2 linked regions of the Struthio camelus genome follow. The protein of the gene in region 1 purifies or fractionates together with the protein of each later gene. This does not show direct contact. Links are inferred from orthologs where the notes say so. Each region holds a gene or a part of one and is shown in the gene's direction. Other genes may lie near its edges. The genes, in order: MMP2 and COL5A1.

What was found.
Region 2: the proteins of MMP2 (region 1) and COL5A1 purify together in Homo sapiens (co-immunoprecipitation; 3 studies listed by BioGRID and IntAct, counting the BioPlex papers as one, with this or other methods). This does not show direct contact. The link is inferred for Struthio camelus from reciprocal best matches to the Homo sapiens genes MMP2 and COL5A1.

What each region holds. Positions count from the first base shown.
Region 1 is NC_090951.1:20,205,792-20,221,658, forward strand, and holds the start of MMP2 (72 kDa type IV collagenase), read left to right. Parts: upstream 1-9,594; 5' UTR 9,595-9,815; coding exon 9,816-9,959; intron 9,960-13,499; coding exon 13,500-13,726; intron 13,727-15,867.
Region 2 is NC_090961.1:4,290,251-4,305,924, reverse strand, and holds the start of COL5A1 (collagen alpha-1(V) chain), read left to right. Parts: upstream 1-8,562; 5' UTR 8,563-8,958; coding exon 8,959-9,058; intron 9,059-15,674. UniProt on the Homo sapiens protein: Type V collagen is a member of group I collagen (fibrillar forming collagen). It is a minor connective tissue component of nearly ubiquitous distribution. Type V collagen binds to DNA, heparan sulfate, thrombospondin, heparin, and insulin.

The sequences.
Region 1 (15,867 bases):
TGTATATGTAGCAGGTAGTGGAGGATACACAGTACGGGGAAATGTAGCAACACAGATTGACCATTCAGCAAGATCCCACTCACCTCTACTCCCCCCAAACCCCAAGCAATCAACTAATCCCACAGAACACCAAACAATAATCCTTAAAATACAACCCATAATTGTAAAATCAAAGCCACAGATGCCACCTGAATTTTTACCCAAGAAGGCAGATGAACCAGGAGGACTATGAGGTCCATTCAAAGAACCTCCTGTAGTAACTGGACAGTATTTTAAGAGCCCTGGATAAAAAGCATGTTTGGTAACAACTTCAGATGAATCAAAGTATACACAAAGACCAAATAAACTGAAATAAACTCAATGTCCCATTAAAAAAACACATCCCCTGGCACAACAGGTTTCATCTACAGTAATACATTCTGTGACTGTATTTGCCTAAGCCTTGCTAACATAGCATAGGCCAGAAAAAAAATGTACTTGATTCCTGCGCCAGGCTGAACTCTTCCCAAACACATTAATTTCCCCTCTACTGTTTGAGTGAAAGCAGTTTCCCTTTATATGAAATAGGAATTGTCCTCCTGCCTTCACAGGAGTCCAGGAGTGAGCACCTGATGCCCACACAGCATTTTTACTCATCATCTCTACAAATAGTAATTGAGTACGTAAGCATCATACAAATCTGTAGCCTTTTCTTTTGTACCAATGCAGACTTTTAAATATGAGAATTTAAGCAGGAGAAAGGGGTGGGAGGTGGGGGAGAGGGAATCAAATCACTGCAGGCCCCTTGGCCTTACCGTTTTTCCAGAGTCTATAACAACAGGGACCTCTCTGCTTTAAAAAAGCTCATTCTGTTCTCTGACTGTGCTGTGATGAAAGGGAATTTGCATTCAGCATATAGCACCAGCGGTCAGGGGGAATCACTTTCTCCATCAGCGACTGTGCACTCTAAATCCTTTGCTAGTTCAACTGCTATATATTTGATTTTAATTAAAGTTCTGTCATGAATTATAAAAGACCAGATCTTCAAAGTCATTAATTAAGGCCCCTCGGTGTCTCAATACTAACATTATAATGACAAGCGAGATGTACAGTGCCTATCAACAAGCGGCTGCCCAGCAGCCGCAGTAAAGCAAGCAGAACTATTATTCTGACACGCTCAGGACGGCACTTGCCGATTGTTACGGGAAAGAGCTCTCCCATGAATACAGCAGGACCACGGCAGGCACAGTCCTGCTTCGGCGCGGCCCTACTTATAAGTAATGTGCATCTTCCGAGAATTTGATAAATGGCTCACTCGGGGAGGTACTCCTTAGGGTCTATCTCTGAAATTCAAAAAGCAGGACTTACAAAGCCTTATGTGGCTTAGGAGCTGAGCATGCAAGCACTTAAAACTTAGCTCTTGTTCTTACTACGGTGTACAGTGTATTGAGGCTACCCGGCTTCCCAGTCAAGGAGTAGACCCCATCATGCTTACTCACATCTTTCACTGCAAGATGCCTCGTTAAGATTAACAGGATCACTGACAAAATACGACGTTAGCCAACATCAACATGGATGGCAGGATCTGTCCCCAGAAGTACTTATGATCATGCTGAGTTTACCAAGCTTAGGCAAATAGAGCAGCAACAAGACTTCTTTCTTCTGCCAAGCCACCAGTGGTGTGGAGTTTCTCTTAAAAGTAAATTAGCTCTACATATTTTATCCATAAGATGCATTTCACTTTCAATTACAGAAGCCACCAGCCAGAAGCATCTCCCTTTCCTTACAAGTAACCCCACTTATTTTTTGGAGTCACTTCACAAAGTGAAATAGCACTCAACAAAAATAACTAGGTATTTTTCCCATGTTGAAACTGTCTGGGAAGCCTACTACAATAAGTAATAACCTCATTTGTAAGTTACTGTGGAATCAGACCCTTGTAAATAAGGGAAAGAGCCAAGAGCTACATGAAAAGGGAAAAAGGGAGTGTATAAAATCAGGTGCTAATAGTCATGATTTTTTTTTTGAAGGAATACAAGTTGATGCACACTTTTATGTTGTATGTTGAGCGCATAGGTTTACTTTGGAAACAGCTCATTTACAGATGCACTCTCCTCAGAGAATGCCAATAAATCAAGACTAAAAAAATCCTTATACAAATTAGCTTGACTCATTTTCCTAAACAAAGGTTTCCTCGTACTCCTCTGCAATTGAAAGCTTGAAACTAAAACCTTTCCTTACTGCACAGCTGAGGTGTGGTTTAAATTTTGTTTTCTCTCAGTGCACAACAAGATGCGTGGGCAGGCCAGACCTGCTGGGGCTAGCAAGCAAGGCCCGTGAGAACGCCAGGGCCATCTTGTCGCTCGAGCCTTTCTTTCATCAAGCCGCTTATCTTGACTGATAGGCCAGCATGACCCTCTTTAAACTCAACAGCCCTGCATGCTAAAAAGGGAGTCCTTCAGATTCACAAATAATGAAAAACATATCAACACACAATTTCGCAGTATTCCACACAAGTTGTTCACTCTGTGATCTCTGATATTAATTATTATTGTATAGAAACTATTCCTCTGAGTATTTTCACAGATTCACCCTGAGGGATAGCCTTATTTTGTGTCCCACTCATGGGGGTTTAGGAAAATTTCCACATCATTGTCATGCTATTGAATATGTTTAATAGATCTTTGTAAATACTGGACCTCCAGGCCATTTCTATATGCCCCCTAACAGGTTATATTAATTACACACTGTCAGTAAGATTTGATTTATGTTGCTTTTGCCATCAACTTGTCCCATTAATGAATAAATTATATGCTTTGCATAATATCTGAATTGTTATTAGTAAACAACAGAAGAACCTCCACAGCATCTGTGTACCCACTTGCTTCATTATGTACATCCATATGACTATGCAAAAACTCAGTTTTCTACAAAAAAAGTACGGCTTAAAAATAACAACATTCCTGAAAAAAACACCCGGAAGCAAAAATGCCCTTTACAAAGATGCTATGGCACCAAGACACAATGAAGTCTTTGACTTCCTGAAAGACAATTCTGGGCTACTGTCCAGCTCCGGCTCCCCATCAAGCTGATGGCAAATGTTCTGTTGGCTGCTGGGAAACCTTAGCAGAACCGTTCACCTGTGTTTTATGGGCTGCTCCTGAAACCTAGTCCTCAAGAATACAAATCTAGAACATGACCATAAAAGCATCACAAAAGGGTATTAGTAGAGCACACTGGAAAAAGTGGGTCCAAAAGTCTCCTCTCAGATTTTCTAATTCACCTAGAACATTTGAAATCACATAAGAGCTAGCAGGGCAATTTCACAAAGCTTCGCCAAAACACCATTCCCTCACTTTCTCTTACAAAATAAGCAAGTCATTGCATTTTTCATTTGCTAAGTGTCTTTCCCCAGTGGTACTGAAGGAAAAATTCTGGTAAGAGTTAAACTTCTATTCTTCTTTGAAAGCATCGGCAAGGCCTACGTCTTCAAAGGAAGGCCAAAGAGACCCAAGTATGTTCACACTGGATGAAAAAAAAAAAGTACAATCTCTCCCTTGCTTTATTAAACTATGGCTTTTTTCATGAAAGTACCATACTTTCGCTATTTCGCTCACTGGCAGAATTTTCACCAGAGACACATTTCTCTTAGTGACCTTAACAGTTAATAGCTCAGGCATTTGCTGCTTACTATAACCAGTGTCTAAACAGACACCTAGAATATATATTTTATTTTTATATCTATTACATTAATGATTGAAATTTTGGGGAGAAGAGCGGGCAACGACCAAGGAGGAGTAGTGGAAATCAGTTTGTAACGAAATCTGTGCAGGCCTCAGAATTTCTGAATTAACTAGCTAGTAGAATGTTCAACAGCAACGAATAACCAGAACGCCACAAATTCAAGTGAAACGAACTCAGACGATCTCATTTTGTCGTACCAGATACTTGAAACTAAATAATTAAAGGAGGTCTGAACTACGCTGCTCAGAATTAAAAAACTGAAAAATAGGAAAATGTGTAGAGATGACAGAAATTTCTCAACCGAGTTTGCACTTTGAAGCTTCCCTCGAGTGTGTGCCAGCGTTAGGTAGGCACACAGACGTTGGCGCTGGTGCCACACGTAAGCTTGGCCTGGGGTTTCGACTGAAGTCGCTCAGCGTAGTTCCGCTGAACCAATTCACCCAACAGAAGCTTTGCAATGGCAATTGACAGCAGCTGAGGACACAGGCTGGAATTTCTGCTTCAGACAGCAGTATAATGAACATATGCAATGGAAAATGCCTTGTCCAGAGTAACAGAATTACCAAAAATTCATTTCTAATTTAGCAGCAAGCTAACAAACCAAATCCATGTGTCAATGGAACTTCATGTCCTTAGGACCTAACTTCCCAAAACAGAGGAGATGAGAGAAACAAAAGCAAAAATATAATTGCTACCTTAAATGCTGAAAATCACATCTGGCACCAACTGCTGGCCCTTTGTACGTTGTGCCCCCTCATCCCTCCACCCACCCACACAGATTTCCAACAGTTTAAAGACTCCCTCATGTGGCGGTCGGATACTGTGAATGTGGATCACAGGGGTTTGAGCCAGCACTGAGCAGGCAGACAGGATATCCAGATAAGGCAGATATAAATGACGTGGACAGTTAAGTCTTACGCTCCCTGTTTGGATCAACTCTTCAGCATACGAGTCTTAGGTGAGCTCCCTTGACTGCAATGTAAATGAGCTCTTGCTGAAGTTATTAATCCTTTTAAAGTCAAATGGGGCCTGCTCTGGCTAATCATTGCTTCCTAGAGACATCTTTCCTGTAATGGATAAACTGCTAACACGATGCCTTTCGCTATTCCTACACAGGTACACGTCACCATCAGTCAACTGCAGCAATTGGTATTGCAGGCACAGAATAAAGCAGGTGGCAGGTACTTGCAGCTTATTGTTCTCTGGTGCAAAACACCCAGAAAAAAAGATGTATTCCCTTAGTATACTGGCATTACTATCTGCACAGATGGTCCATCTTTAGCAGCGGTATCCCTAAGGAAGCAGCAGTGAGTAGACAAGTGAGTGCATCCCAGGTTTGGCTGAGCTTCAGGCTGGCACCACTCTGGAAGCTTTGCTAGAAGTGCAGTGGCCTACAAGCCAGACATGGGAAACAGTGTCAGCTTCCTTTAGCTTAGGTGAATCCCAGGCTTTCTTCCCGGAGCTCTTTGGTTTTCCCCATCCTTATAAACTCCTCTTCCTCAGACAGGAAGGGAGGAGGCACTGGAGTGATGACCCAGAAGAACTTGCAGAACAGGATCAGGGCACAGAAAAAGGAGTTGCAAGGCAATCCTGGCAAATTGAGAAGGAGCCAAAGACCTGGATAAACTGGACCTGGGACAGCCCCAAGGGCACCTTTCCTCAAGCCCAGGCAAACTTCTCCATCACCTAAGCTTCAGGTCTCCCACTCCCTTAGAAGTTCTTCATGAAACACCCTTAGAGCGCAACTCTGACAATTTGCTGTTGATTTTAACATTTGATTTCTTTTTGAAGAATTCTGCTAAAATCTATGCAGGTCCATCTTCATTAATCAAATGGTTGGTTTGTTTCCTAAATGGGAAGCTATAAACTGACAGCTCAGAACCTAGAAGTAGCAAATGCAAGAAGGGGATATGTAAGTATAGCAAGAGCTTACTTGGAGATTCACCCTCCACTCCACCCTGTTATGGGCAGGTGACTCTGTCATCAGATGATCAGGCACTTTCTTGCAACCTTAATTTTCCTGATAATTATTTATTTATTTAGCCTAGTAAAAGTTTTCAAGTTAAAACATGAAAACGCACTAAGAATAATGAGAAGCCCACTAAGAATAAATCCATTATCCTCCCATGAACTGTGCTCATTGACACTCCACCTAACATATTTCTCTGGAACCACAAGGAAATCACCAGCTTTTGACATAAGTTTGGAATTAGTGACAGTAGGAGTTGCTACAGTGCTTTTCTGGGATGACTTACTCTGTCAGCAAATTACCCAGAACACCACCTGAAGTCTAATCCTGAAACTGCTGAGCACTCCTGAATCACTTCAAAAATAATGCTCTGAAAACAGAAAAATCCTCTGATAAAAACACCATGTTAATACATGCGCATGTGTCTGTTATCACAGTTCAACCTACTGAGATATGAAGCTTACAGCTTAATAACGCAAGACATGATGACTCCCTCTTTGCCATTCTTCCTGAAGTATGTCCTCAAAAGAGGCATCGGACATCGCCTTAATGTGTGGTTTCTGCCATACAGTTCCTATTAATGCATAAAAGTAGGCATTTAAAAAGCAAAGCTGGCATCTTACTCATAAAGTAGGTGGCTCTAAAATTTGGATATGGAGCAGTTCTAACCTGAAACAAACCTGGTTAACCGGAGAGCAGGGTTCCTCGCTCCTGAATCAGGAGAGACCAGGCATATAACATACATTTCTTCCTTGGTATGGAAGCTACACGCAACATTGAAGTAAAATTTTTCCACAAATAAAAACAAGGTGTAGCTGTAATTATAACTGTGTTCGCTTTCTGTAGCTAATCCAGAGGTAATAAATATGTACATAGACAAAATATTTTACAGACTGAGCATTAAGCTAAGAGAAAAAAAGATCTAGGTTTCTCTTTCAGCTCTTCCATAAAGTTGCTAGATGTGTCTTCTCAGTGGGTCCTCTTCCTCTGGTTTTTCTTCCCCCCCTCCCCCTTTTTAACTTCCATGAATCTATTCAGTAGTCAGTAGTCTATATAGGAGATAATCTCTGCAGAGTATAGAGGGTTAAGGAATGTTTATGAAGTAAATAATAACAGTAGTCAAACTCTCAATCTATACTCGTCAAAAGGCATCAATTTAAATGCTTCAGATTCTGCCTGGTTTTAAGCTTATCTAGTCAGAGAACAGAATGCAGATTGTGCCATGTCATTTCAAATTCAGAAAGGCTGGTAGGATCACAGAATAAGTCAGGCTGTAACATCTCGTTCATCTCGTCCCACCCCAGCTGAAAGCAGGGCCAGCTACGAGGTCTGAAATTCCCTATTTGGGCAGAATTTCCCTATTCACGGGATTCAGCAGCACTGCAGAACCAGGCGGAAGAAAATCACCTACAAAGCACGCTGAGGACAGGATGATCCCACAGAACTTAACAAAAAGTGTGAGTAGACAAGAAATATTTAAACCAGAATTTACTCATAGCATGGCAGAACTCCTTCTCTCACAAAGAAGCGTCATTAGCATTTAATTTGCTTTGATTACCTGAAGATGGCACCTCAGTTACGATCTTGTAAACTATTACTGATCTCAAGCGGTCACAGATAAAAAGGCCTTTCACTGAATGATCATAAAGTCAATATATGGGTTTACCCAGTACTCACAAACCCAATATTCTATTATTTATTATATTTCCTAACTGAACATAATTTGTTTCACTGCTCACTAGCTGAAATAGCACCAGCAAAGTAGTTTGCCAGCAAAATTGCAACCAGAGGTGAGAAACAGCATTCCACTGCAAGTCTGTATGGTTTCTGTTGCCTTCCTCATTTCTTGAGGTAATTTGTTTAAAAGGTGACCTCCAGGTCCTCTCCCTGCCAGCAAAGTTAAGAAACAAAATATAGTGAGATTTTCAAACTGCAAGGGTCTCACAGACCATTCCCAAGTGGCTTCATCCATTTCTGCGGCTATGTTCATTAGGACACAAGGAGCATGTTGGAGTGTTCATTAGGTTTCAGTGAGGTTTATGAGCGTAACAGGAATGTGCCAGGACACATTTAGCTTTAAATGGCTTCATTATAGTACCCTTCAAAATGAAAGCTACCAAGCTACCATAAATTAAGTTAAAATTCTTATGAAAATGAGATAGTTCTTATGCTCTTAAGATTTACAACAGCCTCTGGCCTACTGCACAACTTTGTGATGCAACATGTAATATTTTTACTTGTTTAATTAAGGATAAGCTAAGAGTGACTTGGCACATGCAGTGAAGGCTTCCTTAGCTTTTGTTCTCTTCCAGTTTCCTGTGGCCAAACGCAAACAGGAGCTGTCATCATAAACAAAGCAGGAGAGTCGTTTCCCTGAACCAAGTGCCGGGCTGTGGAAAAACCGGATCAAATTTTCAGAATTGCTCTTGATTAAGGCAACTCTTAGAAGTGACTGCTTTCTTTGCTGAAGAGGAGGTTGAAAAAGGAGATGCAATTTCAAAGCTGAACCGTTAGGGGAAAGCTGTTCATTCATTTAACTCTGGTGCCACTGGACTCGCACATGGAAGGATGAGAGGGGCTTAAACGCAAAGCTACTTTACACAGAAAGGTCGCTCTGCATTTGAAGTTTTTTAACTCCTCTTCCTCTCCTGCGTGTTAAGTGCTGCTTCCCACAGCTGATTCACCCAGGGGCCATACAACTGCAGTGGTTGATTTTCATCCGAATGAATTCTTTGAGCAGCAAATGCTTCAGCTAGCGCTTTCTCTCTGAACCACCTGGCCCACAGTCCGAAACCCTTGCCCTTGTAAGACTACTCAGTTCAGGGATGATCGGGTGTAGGTAGCAAAACTGATATTAGAGTAAATCACAGAATTGTAAATATTAAATATTTTCAATCAAATAACAAAATATTATGAATAAATACCAAATAGCCGCAAAGTATTTCCTTTTCATTAACAGACCTATTTGGTAACAAGAGTCATATCCGCAAAGCTGTCACCGGTAACGTTCAGAGGAAAGCCGTAGCAACCTCTGTGCTGACACACGGCTCAGAGGAACCTTGGTGGTGGGAATGAGGGTTAATAGCCCCGGTTCTGTGACATGTGGCTGGCTAGAACACAGTTTTCATTCATGCAGAACTGCCAGCCTCCAGTCTTAGAGAGTCATGAGCCAAGCCCCTAGATTAAGGATATTCAGCTAAAAAAACATTCAGCTTGCAGTAACATCTCAAAGCTGGCGATATTATGAACGAAACAATAAGAAGACTGTCTGTGACGATGGCCACATTTGTACCAGTGCTTTGACTAAGGCAGCTACAGCAATGGACCAACCTCCTGCATAAGCGAGTCGAGAATTTGGTACAATTCCCCCGACATCAACTGCTGGAGATCATTTGTATTTGCCGAATCTGCCCGGTTCTCTCTTACTCCATAGAGAGACAGGGGAAGGTGACAGACCAAGCTCGCAAGGTGAATGCCAAGCGCCTGGGAGCCCTGCGCACGCAGCCCTGCAGCCCGCGCAGCCTAGGCGGGAGCGGACGGGCAGCGCAGCCTCGCGCGGCTCCACCGCTCCCTGCACGCTCTGCCTCAACATCTGTAATCAAAATGTTGACTGAAAGGAGAGAAAGCACATACAACTAGAGCAGATTCTCATGTCTGTGGCAAAAAAAGGGGCTAAAAAATAATACAAATGCTTAGCCGAGAAAGTAACGTTTAGGCATTTTTTTAAAACGTAAAATGAACCCAGGACACTTGAACATTAGCTTAGATTTTGCCCTTTGCTGCTCTCTGGCATAACTAAATGTGTTCACATATGCAAACAAGGAGAAAACGTGGCCTCTTTCAGCAGTAATAAGTATCTGCCTGTTGCTACCTTAAAATCACAGCAATCTCAAATCGTAACTGCCCTTTTCTCATGTTTCCACTAGTTTTCAGACTTCCTCTTGTGGTAGCTTGAGGCTGCGCATCTGGATGTTTTAAACATACAAAGGAATTGCTAGAGCAAGCAAAAGAGAAAACGGTGCAGAGAGCTAAGATGTGCAGATAAGCAACTGGTGTACCGTGCAGCTAAAGTAACCGGTCGGGAAAACCTCTCTCCAAGGAGAATAGCGCAAGTTTAGGCAGAATGAAGACCCACATTGTCTTTGGCTTCATTTTTAAAGTACTATTAATCCACGTCTATCTTTTTAGCAAAACTTTAGCTGCACCGTCACCAATCATTAAGTTTCCTGGAGACAGCACTCCAAAAACAGACAAAGAACTAGCAGTGGTAAGTCTTGGTTTCGTCTTTGCTTCAGATTTCTATTATTGTTCTTCATAAGCAGATGTTTCTTTCTTGTTTGAGCAGAGGCTAGGAAACGACTGTTGCATTCTCTCGCTGGAGTCTCTGGAAGAGCAAGCTAGCTAGCAAAGGTATCAGCTTTCAAAAGTAAAAACTAGAGCCAAGTAACGTTTCCTCTCTTAAAATTTTTAAAGCCAACAAAGAGTCTGGTTTTTTTTTTTTTTGCCTTAAGTCCGAACATACAAAATAATTTCACTAAATCACTGTGACTATAGTCAAAAGACTCCAACAGTTAAGAGGGGAGAAGGGCAAAAAGATACATATAAGATTTGACTGAAACCATTTAGAACGGAAGGTTGCGGAGGCACACTTACATAAAACTGGGCTTAATGCATGCAGCACATAGCTTTGCAGAATTTTGTTTTCCAGGTTGTTTACCATGCATTGCATAAGCACAGCTTTAAGGAGCAACTACAGCCGAAAGCTGGCTCGAGTTTCAGAAGCCATAATGACTAGTTCTAAGTTTGAAAAAAAAAATCTTATCACAGCTTTGAAGACATATTCTTCTCTAAATTCGATCTGGAACAAAAAAAGGAGTTTAGGTTTCTGAATGTGACATTAGGAAATTACAGCTATAGCTCTACAGCATTTTATTCTAACCTTATTTTAGCCCTGTGGACCTTCATAAAAATGACATTATGGAGAAGTCCATTTAAGGGGAGATTGAGATGGATTATCCTTATTTTAGCATGTAAATTATAGACATTTCTCTTCTTCAGCAGTAACTCCATTTTAAGGAAGATTGAGATAAATTATTCTTATTTTATCATATAAAGGGTTGAAAGTTGGTCACTTTTCTTTAGGAGCTGGTATGCATCTTGGGAAACCTTGCCAGGTTAAGGGAGGTCGGAGGGGGGATAGAGCGAGAATCTGCAGACAGGGGGGCGGGGGAAGCGGCAGAAAGTTTAGGAAAAGCAGACAAACTGACCCCAAAAGGGCTCTCCTCAGCACTTAAAATCATCCAGGGTTTTGCCTTGGCAGCATGACAACCAGAGGATGGGGGCTGCGTGTGTGGGAGAGGAGAGTGGGGTCACACATGTCTAACGGTAATTTAACCACGCTTAAATAATCTATTTTCTTAGACACAGTCAGGCTTTTATTCAATTACAGCAATCCACGTCTCCTCTCATCTTTATTTCTCTCAAACAACCTATTTATTATGTGTACTCCGAGGAAAATTACAAGCTGTGTTAACACTGCAGCTCTTCTTTGTCTTTGGTGCAGTATTCTTGGGTGACGCTAACTGGCTGCCTTTCCCTCAGCCCCTCCGTGTGAGCAGCCCCAGTACTCAGGAGCAGGACACAAATTGCTGTGTTGCAGCTGGACCCTGTTTCATTAACGGGCTGGATCTAAATTCCAGATCACCACAGCTCCCTGCTGACTCCGGGGAAACTGCAGTTTGCAGCGTAGGCCAACATGTGGTTTACAGAGACACTAAATTTTCTTCAGGATTCTCTTCTCCTAGAACAGCTGGTTATGTTCATTTCTCATCTTCAGTAAAATCACCATTTTAGGAAAAACTGAGAGGGCTTAGGTTTATATTTATAATCCTAGGAAATAAAATTCTTTATCATGCCTCATTTTATATTGCTTTATATTATCATGCTCCCAAACCAAAAATGGCAAGAGCAGTATGCTGCTGCTTCAGTAAACTTCAGTCCTGATATGTGGTCTGTTCTGTGTCACGGTACTTCACTGGGAGATACAGACAGAAGCATCATATAATATGTCAAAAGTACCTCGAGATTAAAATCATAATAGATCCTGCAAACTGGCCTGTTTGTGCTCTTAACGCACTTCTCATCATGCCACTCGGCCCCATTAACTATGAGAAGCCAGAAGAAACTCAGTCACAGCAAAGGTGAAGCCGGTACAGGATGTGTGTGCCCGCTGCTTGCTAGTGCAGCTGTCTCCACTGGAGGAATACCCCATCAGAAGAAGGTGTTACAAAAAACATAAAGAGTAAGCGCAGTCTGTGCTCAGCCAGTAGATGGATGGAGGACCTTCCAAAGGAAATGGTGTAACAACTTCAGTAAATCTTGACCTCTGTTTAGCAGGCAGCCTGTTGCGTAGCCACATTTTGCTATTCCCCTGTTAAGAGCAGAGCTGAAAAAGGATTTATCCTTCCAGGTGGAAGGATACACCTGGAAGTTTTGTTGGTTGCTTTTTTTCGGGGTCATTCTTTTTAGTTTGAATGAGTAGGTTGTTATGGCAGCTGTCACCTCGGGCTACAGACTGCCAGACAGGCTCTCAGGGTTGGTCCCTTCCCCAAGAAGTCCACAGTCAGTCTGTCAACATTTGATGTTATGGGGAAAAAATACTAAGTTGTTTGGGTGAGGTCACTTTGTATTGCACAGAAGGTGGTGATCACGTATGGATATTTGAGACCACAGCTGTGTACCTACAGTTTAGTTTAACAGAAGTACGCGACGCAGCAATACGCATCTGAAGGACACGGCTGCTTACCTGGAGCAATTGCCAGGGAACAGACTAAGCCACAGCTCCTCCGCCGTCACAGGCGGACTTACTGCACTTACACAGCACACCTGGCGGTGTCTGCAAATCACCTCCAATGGTTAAAAGGGAGGAACTGACATCTCCTAGCTCTTGGGCTCACTTTTTTTTTTTTTTTCAAACTACTGCTGTTCCTGCTGATTAGGTCATACTGAATGAAATGGAAGTGGGATAGAGCTGTGCTTTTAAAATTATTATAGAAAAGACTAGACAAAATGGATTTGCGCTGCCTTTTTGAACCTTTATGACTACTGTTTTCTAAGAAGAGATAATTTTGTGGTCTGTCACCTTAAAGATGTATCAGAAAGACCATCATCTGTTAGAGGACTCAGTGAAGATATTAAGCAGACATTGATGGGATAAAGGTATCCAGGTGATTGAAACACTGTCAAAGACTTTCTTCCTCAGGTCTGTGCGATGGTTGACTCAAGAGCAAACACATACAACATTCAAATAGCTCTATGCAGTTTAAAAACAGTGTTTTTTTCTTCTCAATTAATGTGGTCTCATTTGTGAGGTTTCTTTGATACCTTAACTTGACAAGACCCTCATAATCCATAGAGTCTTCCAGGAGAAAAAAATATACAAAATCTAAAACTGTAAGCAGATTTATACATCATAAAGAAACCAAAAAAAGATAAAATCATTTTTACTTTGTAGTTCTACATTAAAGCTCTATGCTCTACTTATTAATAAAGCAATTCATTAAGTAAAGGTGATAGCTATTAGAGGGAATGATTGCTTAATTAGCAATGTTGTGTGATCAAGGATGGTTTATGTCAATTAAGGTGATTCTGCTGCTCACTCAGTTACTAATAATAGTAATTTTCAAAAGAAAGCTTGCAAATTACAGATGTGAAAGTTGACATGGAATTGCAGTATTTATTCATAGTGATTAATTCTCTCCTTTATGAATTTTAAAGTCTTTGTTCTGTGCCTTTTTTTTTTTCCAAGCAATACCTGAACAAATACTATGGGTGCCCAAAAGACAATTGCAATTTATTTGTACTGAAAGATACTTTGAAGAAAATGCAGAAATTTTTTGGGCTGCCTGAAACTGGAGATTTGGATCAAAATACTATTGAGACGATGAAGAAACCGCGCTGTGGTAATCCAGATGTGGCCAATTACAACTTCTTTCCAAGAAAACCAAAATGGGAAAAAAATCATATAACGTACAGGTACTGGCTAGCACTGTTGGTTGTTACGCATACGTATAACAATAGACTGCTTTTAAGAACCAATTAAATGGAGTAGTCAGATGTATGGTAGTGCTTGGTAGGCCACATAGGATTTCTTGAATGATTACCTCTGTGTTTGGATAATTACTGGATGCTCAAGCAAATACCTCTGAAATTTCAAATTGTAAAATTTAAGGAATAATAATCTAAAGCTCAACTTCATGGTTCTGGTTGAGAAAATGAGATGTTGGTTTTGTTCTGTGCTCTGCTGCAAGCATCCTGAGGGATCTGGAGCACAAGTACCCCACCGACCCGTCCGCTCAGCAGGGCAAGAGTATTTTGCAACTGCAGAGCATGTGTAGGAGGACCAACTCCTCTGTATTCAGCAGTCATGAAAACAGAGGTCATCAAACACTTTTTAAAATAGAAGAAATAACACTACTGCTCACTTACCAGTTGCTGTTGATTGGTCTCTCATGTTATACTTTTCAACAGTCAGGAACTAGATGAAATAAAATTCTACTTAAGTAACCAGCTGTAAATGAGAAATGGTCAGCAGCAACGGGAGTAAACACTGCTAAATAAACTGCAGGAGTTTATTAACTCCTCTAAAACTAACTCTTCATGTTAAAAATCTAACATCTAATCTAACCGAAAGACCTAATACTCTAACTACGTGAGGAACTTAAAAATTTAAAAAGAAGTAAAAAATGGTATATTCATTATGCCCATTATTCCTAACAGTTTAAAAAGTCTCATTTATGACCATAAAATTCTCTAATGACTAAGAGCAGTCAAGTTACCCCAGTTCAGTAAACAACTGTACTTACTTAATCTTGTTTCCATACTCTTGACTGTGGCAAGTACAAGGCATTTCAACCACCCATGAAATAAGGCTAGACTAACATAAACCATTCAGGGATTGAAACAGCCCCACATTGCCTCACACTTGTCACAGACTGAGCACATACGTATGACCACTAGCTATAGGTCAAGTAACATGCCTACTGCAATAGGTTTGACATGTTTTCATATCTTACTACTACCCTAAAGAATTAGGGACCAATATTGCTCTCATTAAAGTCAATAATAAAAAATCCCATTGGCTTAGGCGTCCAGGAACAAACCTTTAGCATCGGCGAGAGCAAGCAAGAGTAGATTTGTCTTAGCTGCTTTGCTTGGTCTGGTGCTTCTTTGCTAGTTACGACTCAAAGCGTTCTGCAACTAGTCTAACGGACTCTGACTGTCGGACTGCGGTCGCGCTCCAGCCTCCTCATACTGATACGTTCCTCTGATAACAATTTCCTTAGGCACAAAGTAGCTTCATTCATTACGTGCAGCAGCAGCAAAGGGTGGGAAGCTTCTCCTTAGAGGGAGGTTAGCTGGCTGCAATATAAGGCACTAATAAGTCCAACTAGAATACAGCAAGAAAAAGGAAGCAACGTACTTATGAGCTTGCCCCTCTGTCAGGTCAAGTCTACGACTTCCTCTTATGTGCTTTTGCCTTCTTCTGCTGCTTCCCTGTATTTTCTACTGGCAATGTAATTGGCACGCTGGTGAAGGATTAACATTCATTTACCATGAAACAATATACAGCTACCTAGGAAGGTGAGGGAGAAGGGCTGTTGTCTCACTAAAGAGCAAAACAATCCATTCTAGAAACCTTCAGAACTATATTGAACTCTCTTCCGACACAGAGGAGGCTCAAGCGCTCTGACAAATCAGGGATGTGCTTATATGTTCAAGTCTAAAAAGTGAGCAAGACTTGCAAAGTCTTTAAAAAGTTTACGAAAATGTAAATCTCAGTGGAGCAAAAGACCATCAGGTGTTGTCTTTCTAGCACCTCAGCACTAATGTAAAATCCCAAATATTTTGGTCAAGGCATGCAAGGCTTGCACTGGCCTGCAAGTTTCACAGCCTCTGGCTATATAATCATTTTTCTTTATGCTGCTGTATCATTTTGAAGCAAAATAAACATTAAATGCCACAAGTAAACACCCTTCTGGACCAGGGGAAATCTAGATCTTATATGCAGTGGTTTCACCCCTCAATCGGTTTCACAGGGCACTCTGCGTTTTGTTCAATAAGCCAGAAATACCGAGAGGGGGTTTACCTGTTGTTTAACTCTTCCTTTTGCCTCT
Region 2 (15,674 bases), on another chromosome or scaffold:
GGAGGCAGTGATGCTGCAAGCATAAATAAGTGTAACTTCATTGCCTTCAGTGGAGCTAGATCAATCTAAATCAGCTGGATATCTGATGTAGATAAAGTATTTATATCCTTCTGCTGCTGAAGCCAGGGATCCAAGGGGGAGACAAACTGCTCACTGGGGCCAAATGTGACACTAACAAAAGCATCTCCCACTGTGAGAAGGTCCTGGTAGCAGTTTAAGGTCTCCTTATGTTGCCAGAAGGGCATAAAGGGATCTTGCATAAATAAGGCTTGGACCCAGTGGAAAATGCCTGGGATGTGGCTGCCCCCTTGGCTCTTCCATGGTCGCAGTAGTGCTGTGAGGAGGTTGTTGTACTTGACTTTTCAAGCATAACACCTTTCCACTGCAGCCAGGAGTTTTCTGGGCTCATTTGGCTGTAGTACAAGCCAGGTCAAGAAGTTTGTTTGGTTTGCTGAGAAAGATACTCTAGTTCAAACAAGACTTAATTCAGTGAAGCCCTGTGGCCTTTGTGAAACAGGATCACCTCCGGCCTCATGATTTATGAATGAAAAGTCATGGGGAAAGTCTTGCCTGAGGAAAATAAGCTTGTATAATAAAAGGTAAATAAAAGGCACTGGGGTAGGAAAGGGTTGAAGTTGCTCATCAACCTGGAAGCCATGCAGCTGGGAGCTGTGATGAGCTATGAAGTACTCTGCCCTTCCAGAGAGGCTTTGCTGCTATGGAGGGGGTAGCTGCTGAGATGATCTGGAGTAGGTGCCCTTGCCCTAGCAGAGGGATTGGACTGAGGTCTGTTGCAGCCCAGTGCTTTTGATTTCCATCTGTGCAAAGCTGAGCAGAACTGAAAACCAGATAATAAACCTGTAGCAGCATTGAGGCTGTTCTGAGGTGCAAGGGACTGTACCAGGTGAGCAGCAGCGTTGGCCTTGGGGAAGGGGCAAGACTCAGCCCTGTCTTTCAGCCTTCTCTCCCAGGCCTTTGTCTCTGAAAGGTAGTGCTAGATTCCTATTGTGATTGCTAACAGTTTTTAAAAAGTTCTTGCCAGGACTGAGTAAATCTCCATGCCAACTTAATTTCCCCCAAATGTTGGCTGTGCAGTTATGTCTGTCTTAATGTTTAGGAGCTGACTATATGCATTAGATATCTGGTGATAATTTTGTACACAGGTCTGCAGCACCTCTGAGGAGCGCAACACGGCTTCCCAGGGCTACGAGGGGTGACAAAACTCTGAGGCTGTGATTGTGCTTTGGAGTTTAGGCTTTCAGGCTGTTATAGGTGAGAGCCGCCTGCTGAAAAGCTGGAGCATTAACCCGGTGCTGTGGCCAGCACTAGTATGTGATGGGGTGGTCAGGAATAGTGTATTGGTATATAATCTGGGCATGAACACCATGTCCCTGGCTGTTAAGGGTTAGGGATCTGACACGTTCTGGCTGAGATCTGCACCTTAGGACATGCTAGCTGATTTACCCACGAGTTCCCCAAACTGGAAAACTCATCACTGGTGGGGGGAAGGGAGTAAGTTACCGTGGGGACTTGTGGCAAGGTGCTGATGCATCTGAGAAGGTGACTTACTGGAAACACTGAGCAGACAGAAGTAAAAATTAGTCATGTCAGAGACCACTAGGTAGTTGGACTGGATTCTTTGAATGATTCATCCACAAAAATGACTACTTTGCCTGACACTTTGTTTCCCCTCTGTTTAGAAAGTAGCTTAGACATACCAAGACTGTGGCCTGTTGTATGAATTGCTTTTTGATGGGTGGGTGCTTGTAGCATCCTTGTATTATAATTTCTAAACCACTACTTCAACAAAGGAAAAGAAGACAAAATTAAGGGTTTTATCTCTCCAGAAGCACTCAGCGGAATTAACCTGTAATCTTGCAAAAGCAAAGGGGAATCTACAGAATGTGTCATTTTCAATGAAACTGTTAATGTAAAATTATAAATGGAAATAACACAAGTTCCAAGCTGCTATGTGGTGAATTGACAGGAATATTAGATTTCATTTTTCCAAGCAATTTTCATCTATGTTTTCCCTTCTAAGTTTGAAGTTGATCTATTCATCCTCTAATCCTTCCTCAGAAAAGAGGAGGAAAGAGGACTGTCAGCTGGTACAACCAAGAAGTACCCAGCTGCTTTAATCAGCTACTAGACTTTAGTAGAACACATTAATGATGCCAATTATGGATATGTTTGGACAGTGGTAAAACCTGCCCCGGTGACTTTTTGCCAGTTTGTGGTGGGGGAGAAGCCTAGCAAATGAAGTTCCCTGTCCTGAAGAGTGTGTGCACCCCATGAACAAAGCAGATAAAGGCATGCTAGGATGTCTAGCACATCCCAGCAGCCTGGGGCTTGAGATGAGAAGACTCTAGCTAGCTTGCTGGTGGGAGCAGAGCCAGGAGCATGAGGCTTGTCTATTGGTGCTGTGACCATGCTTTGTGAAATTCACCCACATTTTTTCAGGATTACTGAACTGCAGAAACCCTCAGTGGAAAAGATCTCTCTGGTCATCTAACCCACTCAGGCTAGGCAGGATTGTTCTCAGCAGTCTATAGCTTTGTCCAGACTAATTTGAAATGACTCAAGCAATGGGATTTTTCATCACTTCCTTTGGGAAGTCTTTTAGATCTTCCATAGCTGACTAGATCTTAATGTAAGGATTTTCCTAACAGTTTAGTCCGAATTTTATGCTGCTGAATTTTCAACCACAATCCTATTTATGCCCAGCTTAATACTCTGCCTCTTTGGTGTTATACCCTTCACAGATTTCATATGCTTAGACCTGAGCTGGTCACTTGCTGAGTGCAAGTGGCATGAGCTGCAAGATTCATGCCTGCTTTTGGGAATACAGAGCTATGGAACTGCTATAACACCCCTCACCCCCCCCCCCCCAAAAAAAAAAAAAAAAAAAGCACAAACACTTTGGAAACTTTTCTTCATAGGAAATCTTTCCAGGGCAGAGAGGCTAGATTGCCCTGCTTTTAAAGCCATGCTTGCAAAAGTTATTCCACATCCTGTAGATTAATATTTACAGTTTCTGACTTAATGTATTCAGTCTGATAACCCAAGATTTCTAGTAACTTATATTTCATGTTCAGGGTTTTCCTGGGTAGGATTCTGCAAATCTCTCACTAGGAAAAACCTCTGCCTAAGAATCGAATTGTAGCTAATTGTGGAAGGGAGAATGAAATGCTGGCTTTTCCTTGATATGGCGCTAAAGCCTGTTCATCTTTAGAAGCCACTGAACCCGGTCTTTACTAATATCAAATAACTGTGCATAGAATATTTGGCAAAAAAAAAGCATGATGAAGACATGAAGAAGCAGGTAGTGAGGGAAGGCTGATGGGTATAATCACAGCTGACATCTGTCCTGACTATTATTCGAGGAAATCTAAGGCAGCACAGAGAGGGGCCTCAGTTCTCAAAACTGGGCTCCACCAGCAGAAATGCTCATCCACCTTCTTGGAATAACCATGTGGGGGAAAGCTAACAATCGCTGAAAAATATATATTGTGATGGTGTGTTAAGTAAACTTGTGATCACTGTTAACATGCAAAGTGTAAGCTGTCATCTGTTTGAGTGCTGCCCATCTGCCTTCATCCCTGGGGAAAATGTTAAGTCTGTCTTGTGGCAAGGCTTGAGAACAAACACCATTGTCTTCTAGATGAAAATATTCCTACTGGAGGGGCACCCAAACTTAACTCCTTGACACAAATGTCAGTGGGGCATTTTGACCCTGCACATAAATCTTGTGGTTTGGGCTCACCTTTGATCTTCACATACATGATTATGATGGATAAACTTAAGCTAAAAAATTAACTCTGCAATCTGTATCCAACAAAACCGTTGCTGGGGTCAGTGCGGGTCTAAGTAACTTGAACATCTTCATTTTTGACCCTTGTGAAGATCATAGGGTAAATCAGTTCTTTATGATGATAACGTGCAGCTTTGTGGTCAGTGTGACACTTGCTGTAGCACCATGGGTTATCTTTCTGAGGGCTTAGCCTAGGCCATCTGACCATAGATCACAGGGCATGAAGTGAAATGCAGGGATGGGAGAGGGAATGGCAACTCTCTTGTGGGTCTTCCAGGCTGATGTTGGGAGTGAAAAGAATTGACCTTTATTACCTTTTCATCTAAGAAGGTGAACTGAGTTCATGCTTCTCAATAGGCACTTTCATGCAATTTTTGCCCTTCTGCTGTGCTTGATACACCAGCACAGTCTGAACACATAAGAGTTGGAGTCATTAGCATTAAACTGAAGAGAAGGCAACAACACTGGAAAAAGAGGAGGAGTGGAAAGTCTGTTCTCGTTATAAAGATATTTCCTCTATTAAACAAACCTCTTTGACTATGAGAAACATTTAAACATAAGGAAAAACAAGCCCCACCTTGTGTTGGCGGCACTATGCTCTTTCCTTCTGGTGGGATTTGTCCTGGTGCCACCCCATGGCAAAAGTCGGCTCTAAATTTCCACCAGAGCAGATGAAATCTGGAAGAATTGCCTGTCCAGCTCCTAGACTCTTGCAGGGCTAACTGTTTCATAAAGAAATTGGCCTGAAAAGCCAAAACAAGCGTTTAACTACAGAAGTGGAGTGTTATTTTTATTGTTGTCTTGTCCATCTTGGAGAAACAGCTTTAACCCTGGGAGGAGTTTTGAGTTTTCCACATTTGGGAGCTACATTCATCATGTCACCAGCCAGCTTAAGGTTCAGCTAAAACATAGTATTATTGACTGTTACGTTTTCTGGTGTCGTGTCCTTTGAAGTACTGCAATAGGTATTTATTAACGTTGCTCATTATGGCGTTGTATAAAAGCTGGTTTGATGATTTTGAGAGAATGTTTTCAGAGAGGTTTAAGATGTTGGGGAATCTGCTGCTGCCCTGCAGCTTTTAACCAGGCCAGAAATGGATACGTACAGACCTGAGTCAGTACAGTAAACATTTTGCCCAAGTTAAAGGACCACACAGAACAGTGCAGCTGAGACTGGAGACATGGGGTAAGCTGTCAGGATACCCTATGTGCCAGACCCTTTGCTCTGCTTTGCCATGCTTGCTCCTTTTGAGTAATACCTATTGCAATGAGTCATCCTGCTGAAATGAATAAAGGACTTTTTAGGGCGCGAGCATGTGGATCTGATATAGCAGCCATGGTGTCTGCTATAACAGCTACTTGCTGCACAATTATTAAAAAAAAAAAAAAATCCATGTGACTATTAATACCATAAATGTCATCAGAGCATGAAGCTTTTCTGAATGGTATCTCCTTTGTGGATAAATGACAGCTTTAGTTTCCAAGCCTCTTGATCCAAAGCCTTTCAGTAGCACTGAATTCTCACTTTTTCTTAAGTCATAAGTTGAATTTAGGAGAGCAATCATTGCCATGGCAACAAGTGTGAGGTCATAAGTCAGGATTATGACTTCAGCACAAGATAATTCATAAAGGTTGAGCTAGGGGTGGGGATGCAACTGTATTTGTTAGCAAAGAAAATAAAGACAGGCATAAGATTGAAAGAGTGAAACTATTTTTAGATATTCTTTATAAGGAGCATTTAAATCATTCCTGACTGGAACAGTTTTTTTGATTACTCGTGCAACAGCTCAGACAGGCAGTTTTAAGAAGTATCGCTTTTAATCTGTTCTCATCCCCTGGTCATAGGGCGTAACTGGTCATCAGTAACTCCTAGTAGTGTTCTTGCTTTCTGATTGTTGCAATAGTTATGTTCAAACTACAGAATAATGCCTTTTATAGTTTTTGGCTGAATGCTAATGTTAAACTGATTTCCTAGTATAAATGTCTATCAAATTTTCTACCTATGCATCTTGAGGTTTTTTGAGAGCTTGCAAATGTGTCCTCCACCTTGTAAACAACAGCTAGCTGAACTCAAGATGCTTTCAGTCATGAAAATACTTTTAAAAATAACTGTTGTTCCTGAAAGATATTTGGCCATCTGCCACTGTTGCAATCCAGTCTTTTGGATATTCAGTTATTGCCCCAACTGGCTGCTTGGAGGGATTTGGAGCTGGCATGAACCAATCCAACTAGTGTAAATCTACTTGCTGCTTGCACCACCACACGATCTGGCCCACTGCTTTGGAGGTTAGCTCCTCAAACTTGGCAGGAGAATGCTGGAATTTTCCAGTTTGCCATTGCAAGCTTATTTTGGTATTTTCTGTTGTTGTTGAGGAGGGGCAAACAGGTCTGTGCAAGCTTCTAAATCACCTGGAAAGCAACTGGAAACTAAACTCTTACTGTTGTGCAAAAAGCTTTTTTTGGCCAGATTCTCAACTGCTATAAAGCAAAGCTGCTTTGCATCAGATGAAGGTCTAGGTTTGGGCTATTTCTGGCTTGCTTCCTGAGTTGAGCAGTGGGAGCCCTTGGAATATGGGTGGTGTGTTTAGTGTGTTTTACTGCTCTAACCTGCCTTTACTTCCTCGCCTGCAGTGCTTTCACTGCTTTAGAGATTTCCCTCCCTTCCTAATGCTGTATGCTCTTGAAAGGGCAGAGAATTTCAACACCTGAGTTGCAGACAGTGTCCAGGTGTTAGTGGGATTTTCATTTGCAGCTGGTGAAGACAAAAAGGGTCTCATTTCACAACAATGGGTTGTTTGTATGCTCAGAAATGCCAGCAACTTCTGGGATGGGAAGACTAACGAGATCCTGGCATTCACTTAACTGCAAGACTGAAATCAGACAACGCCCCATCTCTCACTGTTCGGGTTGGTTGTGCCTTTCAAAGGTTATTAGGCCTCTGATCAAGAAATTAGGCATCCATGGAAATGGTGTGGATCAAGTTATTGCTTTATGTCTTTATTGTAGTAAAAAGGGTTACCGGGAAGGTGGGCTTTTGCAATCAGTTTGCTGGTTCTTTTAACTGTCCTAGTTACATATCTGTATGCCTGGGATGTTCTGCTTTTCCAGATGAGAAAATATCTCCCTCTGACTGTTGCACAGTGTTTGTGAGCTGTGGGGTGGCTGCTCTGCCCCATACCAAAGGTAGCTGCGAACCTGTGAGAAATGGCGTATTTTGGAGCAGGAGGTGTTATAGAGATGGGGAGCACTTCCCTTGCTGGGTTGCATCTGCTGAGTGCTCTGCAGAGAAGTTTACAGGGAGGCCCAGGTGTTACTTACGCTGAAAGAACTTGCCTCCAGGCTCCCCACAGATAGGGAGCTTCACCTAATCTGTCTCTAGTGATCTGGTTACTCATGAAAGGGGTATTGTGGAAGGGGCTTTCATCTGGGTGATTTGCCCACGAGTGTCACTGGTGCTGTACCTGCCTGGCACGTGGTTACAGCAAACAAGTGCTTGGAGTATCTTGTTCTCCCCAGCTCGTGACTCAAGGGATTGCAGCCAATATGCCTTTCACCTGTCTTTCTGCATGAAAGAATCTCTCAGCAGTCTCTTGTGTGGCTCTTGTCCTAGTCTTCCCAGTTTCATGGGGAGGCTGCTAGCAGGGGAAGGCATCTCAACAGGTTTGCAGGTAAATGGGAAGATATTTGCTATGGCTCTTCTCCACTGAACCATTAGCCTCTTTACTAGGCTACAAGCTGAGTTGATTGGGAACACCTATTCCCTCTTGCTCCCTTCTGGAGATATGGTGGGATTTGGGCTTCTGTGCTCATGGGTTTTGACATGCTATTAATATCACTTACCTATATGAGAAACTCTCATTCCAGCAGGCCAAAGAGGTTTACGCTGAACAAATAGCTGAAGCTTGACATAAGCCTCTGTTGTACTGATTATTCCTTCAGATGTTCCACCCTGTCCAGTATCCTGATGACCTGATTTTGGGTTTATCAAGGAGTCTGTAGCATTGCAGGCCACCTAGCACTGCCTTGCCGAGGGTCCCTCCCCTCCTTTGGGGCCTGAGAGAGGGTGGTGCCAGGGGAAGGGATGTGGTGTGGGGAAGTAGAGACTGGCTGTTGCCGTTTTTTTTTTTTGCTACTGTACTAATTTCAGTGCTGTACAGCACCAGAACTAGTAAAATCATTTGGAGCTGATGTTTGTTACCAAAGTGTGATGTATTGGCGGTCACCAGAGTGTGAAGATGAGCAGTGCTGGGTAGCTTAGTGAAAGGAAGAGCAATGGGAGCAGAGGAGTGCCTTGGCTAGACAGTGTGCAAACTGATGTGCACAGCCTGAAGGCAACAGTTTTAATAGTTGACTGTCCTCCTTGGCTGTTTGCCAGGGAAGCGTTTCACCATCACAACTGTTGAGTTAACCTGGCAGGGGATAACGCCTTCCCTTTCAGTGCTTTCCCAGCTGCACTTTTACCCTTTGCATGTGTGCTTTGCATTGGCAACCTCCTTTGGCCAAATCCTCGTTGACATCTGCCACCATGTCCCCTTCTGAAAGCACCCTGCCTCCATCTCTCTCTCTCTGAAGCCAGAAGGAAAAGGGGGAGGTGGGGGTAGGGGGAAGCAAAGACCTTCAGGTTTGGGGTAATTTCTGGGAGGGAAGCTAGTGGCGAGCAGGGACAAAGGGGTGGCGGGTTGCGAGCCGCGGCCGCGCGGCCCCGACGGTTCAAACTTGCCGGGGGGGCCGGGCCGGGGGCCGGCCGGGCCGGGGGGGGGGCCGGGCTGCGCCGCGCCGCGCAGGGGGCCGCACCGCCCGGCTCTGATTTGCTGCGCGGCTCCGAGATTGACAAACTCTCGCCTTGGCTTTAAAAGAAGAAAAAAAGGAGGGGTGGGGGGGAGAGAAAGAAAGTTTTCGCTCCGGCAGCAAGCAGGGGAAGGGGCGAGCGCGGTGGAGCCCCCCGACAGCCCCATGGCTTTATAAAGCGGCTGCTCTCTGGGGGGGGGGAGGCAGGGGGGGGTCTTGAGCGGCTTTTCTTCGCGTGTGTGTGTTTTTTTTTTTAATTTTTTTGCGCCCCCTCCTTCCTTTTCTCCTCCTTTTTCTCAGTTTTTTTTTTTCGGTGCTTGCCGAGTTGTCCCGAGCTGGTGCCCCTTTTTTTGTGGACCATGGATACGCACACACGGTGGAAAAGGCGAAGCTGGATACGGAGCTGGCCGGTGCCCGCAGCGCTGCTCCTGCTGGGCGCCGCGTCCCTGGGCGGTGCAGGTAAGCGGCCGCGCGGGGAGCGCGAGCGTCGCCCGCGTACGGAGGAAGCCTTTGGGGAGCTGGAGCTTTTTTGGAAATTTGGCGCAAACAGCGAGAGGGAGAGAGAGCTGGCTTTTGTGCTTTGCAAAACGTTTGTCTTTTCTTACTCGATGCCTTCCAAAAAGAGCGAGCGAGAGAGGAAAAAAACCCTTTAGCTGCCCGAGTCTCTGAATGCCGTTTGTCAGGGGGCCCGTAAAAGGGAAAAAACTTAAAACAATGCTTTCCCCCCTCGTCTTAAGCAGATCTGCCTGTTGCTGTGCTTTTTTTCTGGAGCAGAAGTCAGTATGTGTTTCTAGAGCTTCTAATTCTGTTTGTATGTGTGTATTTATACGTGTGTGTGAATACATGTGTATATTTAACTGGAAAACTCTCTTCGTGCATAGTTCCTCCTCCTCCTCCTTGAGGAGAGGAAACTTTTGTCGAGAAGGAATTTGCTCTTCTCTCCCCGCTTCAAAGCGGCAGATCTCGGTGCACAAAAGCTTTGCCGACTTTTCTGCTCCGGACTCCAAGGCACACACTCTGTCCCCTCTGCACTTCCCTAACCCAACTTTGCCGTTTCTCCCTCAAATTACTACTGCCGACTGTGGCTAGAGGAAGTGCTGTGAAGAACGAGATGCAAAACAGTCCTAGGTAGGCAAAACGGCAGCAAACCCCCCTGAAATGTCATTTTAAAAGTCGTGCCGAAGAAGGGATTAAGCACTTTATTTTGCTAGCTGGAGGCTTCGGTTACCCTGTGTGTTTCAAAGGGCTCCGCTTTCCAAATATCTGCGCTCCCCGTGGTGAATTGTGAAATACCAGAGCAGGATAGATGGATACTTGTGGATTTACTCCAAAAGTTCTGTTTTCAGGGTATTTTCTGTGGCTGTGGGAGATGCTAGGGAGGCATCCATGCTCTGAGATCATTTTAAATAATGTTAGAAAGAATAAGTGGTTTGTGGGCAGAGCTGATTTTGAAATCTGCAAAGTTAAAGTAGATAAGAGTTTTGTGGGATTCTTAGGAAACTAAGCTAAAAGCATGCGGAATAGCTGATCTGCCCGAGATTGAGCTTTCATGCTCAAGTTCATGCAAGTTTTGGATATTTTCTTCTATCCTGGAAGCTCAGCAGGTGGTAGTTGCTGGGTTGTTTGTATGTTACTGGGACAAATGTGTGGGGAATTTTGTTATATAGTGGTGTAATTGTCAATTATTGTAGTTTCTAGGCTCTTAAAATAACTTTAAGGAAGAAAATAAAAGGCGGTAGCACGAGGAATGCTTTCGTCAACAGTTTGCTTGCAAGTTCTGAGCAAGATGGAAAGAAGTTGTTCACCAATGAATAAAATGCTTCTAGTACATCACTGCTAGGAAAAAAAAATAATGGCAGTCAGAGTTACTGAAGAGATTGTATTGTATTGCAAAAGCATTGGATTATTATTTAGAGCAGTTTTCTCCGACTAAAGACTATTGGAACAGTACTAACAACTTAATCCCCTTTTTTTATGCAGCCAGTGGCATCAGGCCACTGTTACTTTGTTAGCTGGAAGCTGAATTATTACTAGTCTCCGCTGTTTCAAAGGAAATAATAGTTTTTTTCTGCCCTCTGTCATTGTGCTAGTATTTCAGTGGTTTCAGAGCATCCTTAGGAACGTTGCCTGTCAGTGTATCTTCTCTGAACAGCTTCAGCATAAGACCTAGCACTCTTTAAAGTTACTGGTAACTTTTCTGTGACTTCTGTCACAGCTGTGGGTGCAGCTCTGGGAAGCAGTGGTCTGTGTAGCTGGAGCCAGCGATGCGATGCGGTGGGAGGCTGGAGAGCTGCTGCAGGGCCAACTTGCCGCTCTGAGCAGCGACTCTGGCAGTGAAAGGCTTTGAATTTTCCTAATGAGCCTCCTAATAGGCTATCAATTTAGATGAGGGAGGAGTCAGATTTGGACAGCTGATGGCATTGACTAATACCCCTTTAGAGCTCTTTTTTAGCCTTCCAAGCTGTTTTTTTTATCAGCTCAGATTGTTTCTGTTTCAGTTTCATTTTAGGCAGTCCCTCTGTATGGAGTGAGGCAAAACACTTAAAATCTTCAGAAACACATCAGTCAGGTTGTGCAGAAAAGAGGGGGAAGAAAGCTAGCCCAAGGGTTTCCAGAATAAACCGTCAAAGACGCTTCACTATGTCAGAAGTGACACGAACTGTGAAGTGCAGCTGAACGCTGCCCTTCCAAATCATACTTTTCTCATTTTTTAAACAGATGATGTCACGCTCCAATCTAACCCGCAAAGTTGGAGTATCTTTTTCTAACAAATCCCAATAAAACTGAATCAGGCTTCTGGACAAAAATTTTTGGAAGCAGCAGTTTCCTTTAGTGGCAAAGAAAAGTATAATGAGAATACATGGTATGTCCTTTAAAAGAAATACAAATAGTGGAGATTATGAAGTATCTTGTTACCATCTGTTGCTTCTCTCCTTGGCTGTTCCCCAGTCCTTTAGAAGGAGCTTAAAAAATATTCTTAGTATTCAGCCAGATAGAACAGTTTTGTTTAATATTTTGCCAATTGAAAAATCTTGATATTGTTTTATAAGAAGAAATATGACTTTAAGTTTGGAATTGGTGATGGATCTGATTTCCAGTGTAAAACCTGGATTATGCTGTCAGTGTGTTGCCTGTTTGGAACACGACTTTGTAGCTTAAAAGAAACGCAACTGTTGTACATGCTCCATCCAGAGGATGGACCAGAGGCGTTCAACTTAAGCGATATATTACTCTTCTCTATAAACTAGGGACGTGATGACAAATCTTTTCAAACTATTCCCTTCTAGAGGCAGTTTTTAAAGGTTACTCGCTGATCTCTTCCCTGCAGTCAGGCAGAATTGCTGAGTGCGGGAGTTGCAGTCTCGGGACTGTGAACTGACTTTTGGTGTCCGAAGAGGCGGAACAGTGTGCACTCTTTATCTGTTGGCATTGAACTCTGGCTACTGAGCTCTCATTTTTTCCTAGTCTGAAGATTACCTCTTGATGGGTATCACTATGTTAGATATCCAGTATTGGGTCTTTGCAGATAAAACCTCTGTTTAAAACCAAGGGTAATCCGATAAACCAAACTGTATTGGCCTTAGTGCTAGGGCTTGCAAGATATGAAGGCTGCCCTAGGACAAATGGGAAAGGACTGTAAAGGGGATATGTGTCCTTGTTTTAAGTGGGTACTGCCCCCTGCCCATTGCATGTTGTAGTTTCAGGAGATGGGCTTTCCTTTACGGGTTTGTTCTTTTTAACGGTGAGCAAATCTCATCAGTCAGATTCTGTTTCATGACCACTGGAAGTCAGAACAGTGTTGCAGGGGATGCGCTAACATCTGTCAGCGAGAAGCCCTTGGGTGACTTGGTGGTTCCAGCTTTCCAAGCTCCTCTTCCCCTGTGCTGTGGGATGTGATCCAGATGTGGAGCTGCAGGTCCAGGAGGGGGTGTGTGCATGAGGAAGCCAGGCCTTGCGCAGAGCCCAGCTTCCAGTTTATGCCACAGGTCTGTGCTACGCTGGCTTGGGTAGTTAATCCCTCCTTTATCTAATGTCATAGAAAATAATTTTATGAAATAATTATAGTATCCTTTTAAGTATTAGATATCAATTATGTGGTGTTCCCAATTCTGTCTTCTGCTTGGTCATCTTAACTACGCTGTCCTTATTAACTGGGCTTGGTCTAAAGGTCGTTCCGAAGAGAGCTTGTTTTGCATGTCGTTTCTCTGCACCGATGGTATTTACCAGCATCTGTGCTGTGTGTGATACTCAGCATAATGCTTTTAATTTTGAAGTAGCTTTTCTTTTCTCAGAGTTTTGGCAGGAAATTCTCTGCCACTGTCCCAGGACCAAGGTCCAGACCCCTAATGGGCCATAGGTGCCTAACATGCAGCACCTGCCTGGCTATTTTCCTCTAGCACTGAAGATGCAGTTCTGTCCTGATGCTGCCTGACCCTCTACTTTGGTGCAGAGTCCTGGCCTCGAAGTTTCCCCATGTGTCCTGAAGCCTGGCTTCAGTTTGTAGTTTTAAAGCGAGTATGCTTTCTCACAACTGCTTTGAGTTACAGATAGCGTTGAAAAGGAGACACAGCGTGGCAACAGATGTGAAGAGGCAGACGGTGCTGCTATGGCATACGTCACTAAAGCAGGCACGTTTGTATGAAGCACCGTTTATAGATGTATTTTAGGTAGTCTAGGTTTTGCATCTGGACTTCAGAAATAAACCTGTGGGAGGACTTGCAAGGAAACTGCTTTTCAATCTGAGTTTCTTTTCTGCAGAGGAAGAGCAAATTGCCCATTTAATTTTTTGGCAATTACTTCTTTTACTTTTTGTTTTATGCCCTGGTGCTCCCTCCTGCTCCATGCCCCATCCCTCTCCCTACACTTTTTGTTTTAATCTGTTTCAACTCCAAATATATTTCTTGGAGCAGAAGTTCAATGTTGGAGAATGGAATATCTGTGTTCATAGGGCCTGATCCAGGTTTCTTTCATGTTGATGGAAAGTTGCCTGCTGGCTTCAGTGGAAATTGGTTCTGGTTGTAAAAGATAAGGAATTGGCAGGTGTCTGTAAAAGAACTGAGTGTTTTTAAGACTGACCTTTGTCCACGAGTGCAATAATGTATGCTTACCCAGATCCCTAGTCCTGAGTAATTCCTGTGCTCTTGGCTGGAGCTCTCCCTTGCCTGCTGGAGAGCATGCCAGTAGTGTAGTAGAGATGAAAGTGCTTTAAGGACACTGTGCTCTTGCTTTCCTGTTGAGTTAAAAATCTCTCCTTTTGTGAAAAGCTGTGATATTGTGCTTATTGCCTGGGAGGAGGATTATTTGGTTTGGGTCATGGTCGCTAGTGAAGCGCTTGTGATGTGCGAGTGGGCAGGATGCTGGGGACATGTTGCAGTGTGGGATACTGCGTAGTCCTTCCCAGAGCGGCTGGAAGATGGCAAATTGCTTTCTATAGACAAGAAAGTATCAAACTTAGAAGACTGCACTGAGCAATAGGGCAGTGAACGTTTCCACATGAGCAAGTTGAGGATTAGAAGCTTTCTGGCCCAGCAGACCTGCAGTCTTACTTGCTGTTGTGCAAAGAAATGTTTGGAGCGGTGGGAGAAGGGGGACCAGGCCAGCTGGCCAACAGAGAGGTGATGAACAGGAGATAGATGAGTGTTCAAATTGGGCATCACCACAGTGATTCATGGTTTTGCTATTTGTGTGTTTGCGTGGTTGCCTGTAGAAACATCTGGAGGATAGGAGGATCTGGAATGAGGGGAGAGTGGAGAGCTGAGCCCGGGGTTGTGGGATATTGGTGAGTGCATTGCAGGTGGAGAGGTGCTGTGATGGGACTCCTGCTTGATCGTGCTCAGATGGTGTGCCTGTTGTAGCTGGTGCTGCTTGGGTTTAAAGAGCTTCCCTATAGTTGAATTAAGAGCCTCTCTGTTGGCCTGCTGGTTGTTACTTACGTTAGAGAGATAAGGGCCTGTCTGTATATAAAGCAATTTGGAGTATAGGCCCAAGGTTTGGGATCATTTGGGAAGAATGATCACATTTAGAGTTCACACTAAGGCAAAACATGAATTTTGAAGCACAGCAGTCCCTGAGATGGGGGAGGTCCCTGCTGTTTTACACATGAATTTGACACTTTCCCACATATGTACATGCCTGTTCGTGTATGCTCTAGCTTGGTTATTTGGTAGGAATCTCCTCAAAGCAGCTATCTTTCTATAAAATGAGTTCTTTTACAGAGAAAGACTTAAAACATCACTTGTGTTTTGCTGAAAACACAATTATAACTTTTAAATGCTTAGGCTTTGGTAAATGGCAATTGCTGTTTTAAAGAAGAGAATAATTATGTTAGATAATATCTATCTCTGCTGGTTTCCCTGCTCTACACATGTATGTCTTTTCTAGCTTTTAGTGTCTTGGTGGTGCTGGAGTGCAACCTTCTGTCCTGGATTTATTGCAAGTCTTGTTTGATCTAAGTGGTAGTACCTGGTACTGAAGTATGTAAATTGAGCTTTATTGATTACGCTTGTACTATCTGAGTAGGCACGCAGGGCCTTTCATTAAGCTCTTAAAGCCCTGGTTTAGCCTTCATGAATTTGAGATAAAAATTTGGAAGTGAGGAGGCTGCTTGGAAATCCTGGATGGGGTTATAAGGTGGATTGCCTCCCTGCTGTGCACTTGACAGCTGCCCCCCCCTCCCCCCCAATAGGTCTATGTAAAGGCAAGTGATGGTTGTTAGGGACTGTGACTCATGGCACGCGTCAGGCCAAGATGCTGGCTGTTGCTGTCCTCTCATGTGGCTTCCCCCTTGGCTCCCTGTGATGGGTGGCATAGTGGGGGGAGTCCCCAGGGAGATCCCATGCAATAAAAGACATCGCTTCTTGCTGGTGTTTCTTTCCAAACTTTGAGTTTATTAAGATATACAGAGGCTTTTTTGCACTTAGTAATGTCCCTCTTGATCAGGGCTGTTTAGTATTCTTTTTTCCTTTTAGCTCTTTCATTATTTTCATTATTTGAATTTTATCCAGTTATGACCTCTTTGGAGTGCAGCTATTGTACAGAGCTGTCAGGAGTATCAGTTTGAAGATATTGGTGGGTT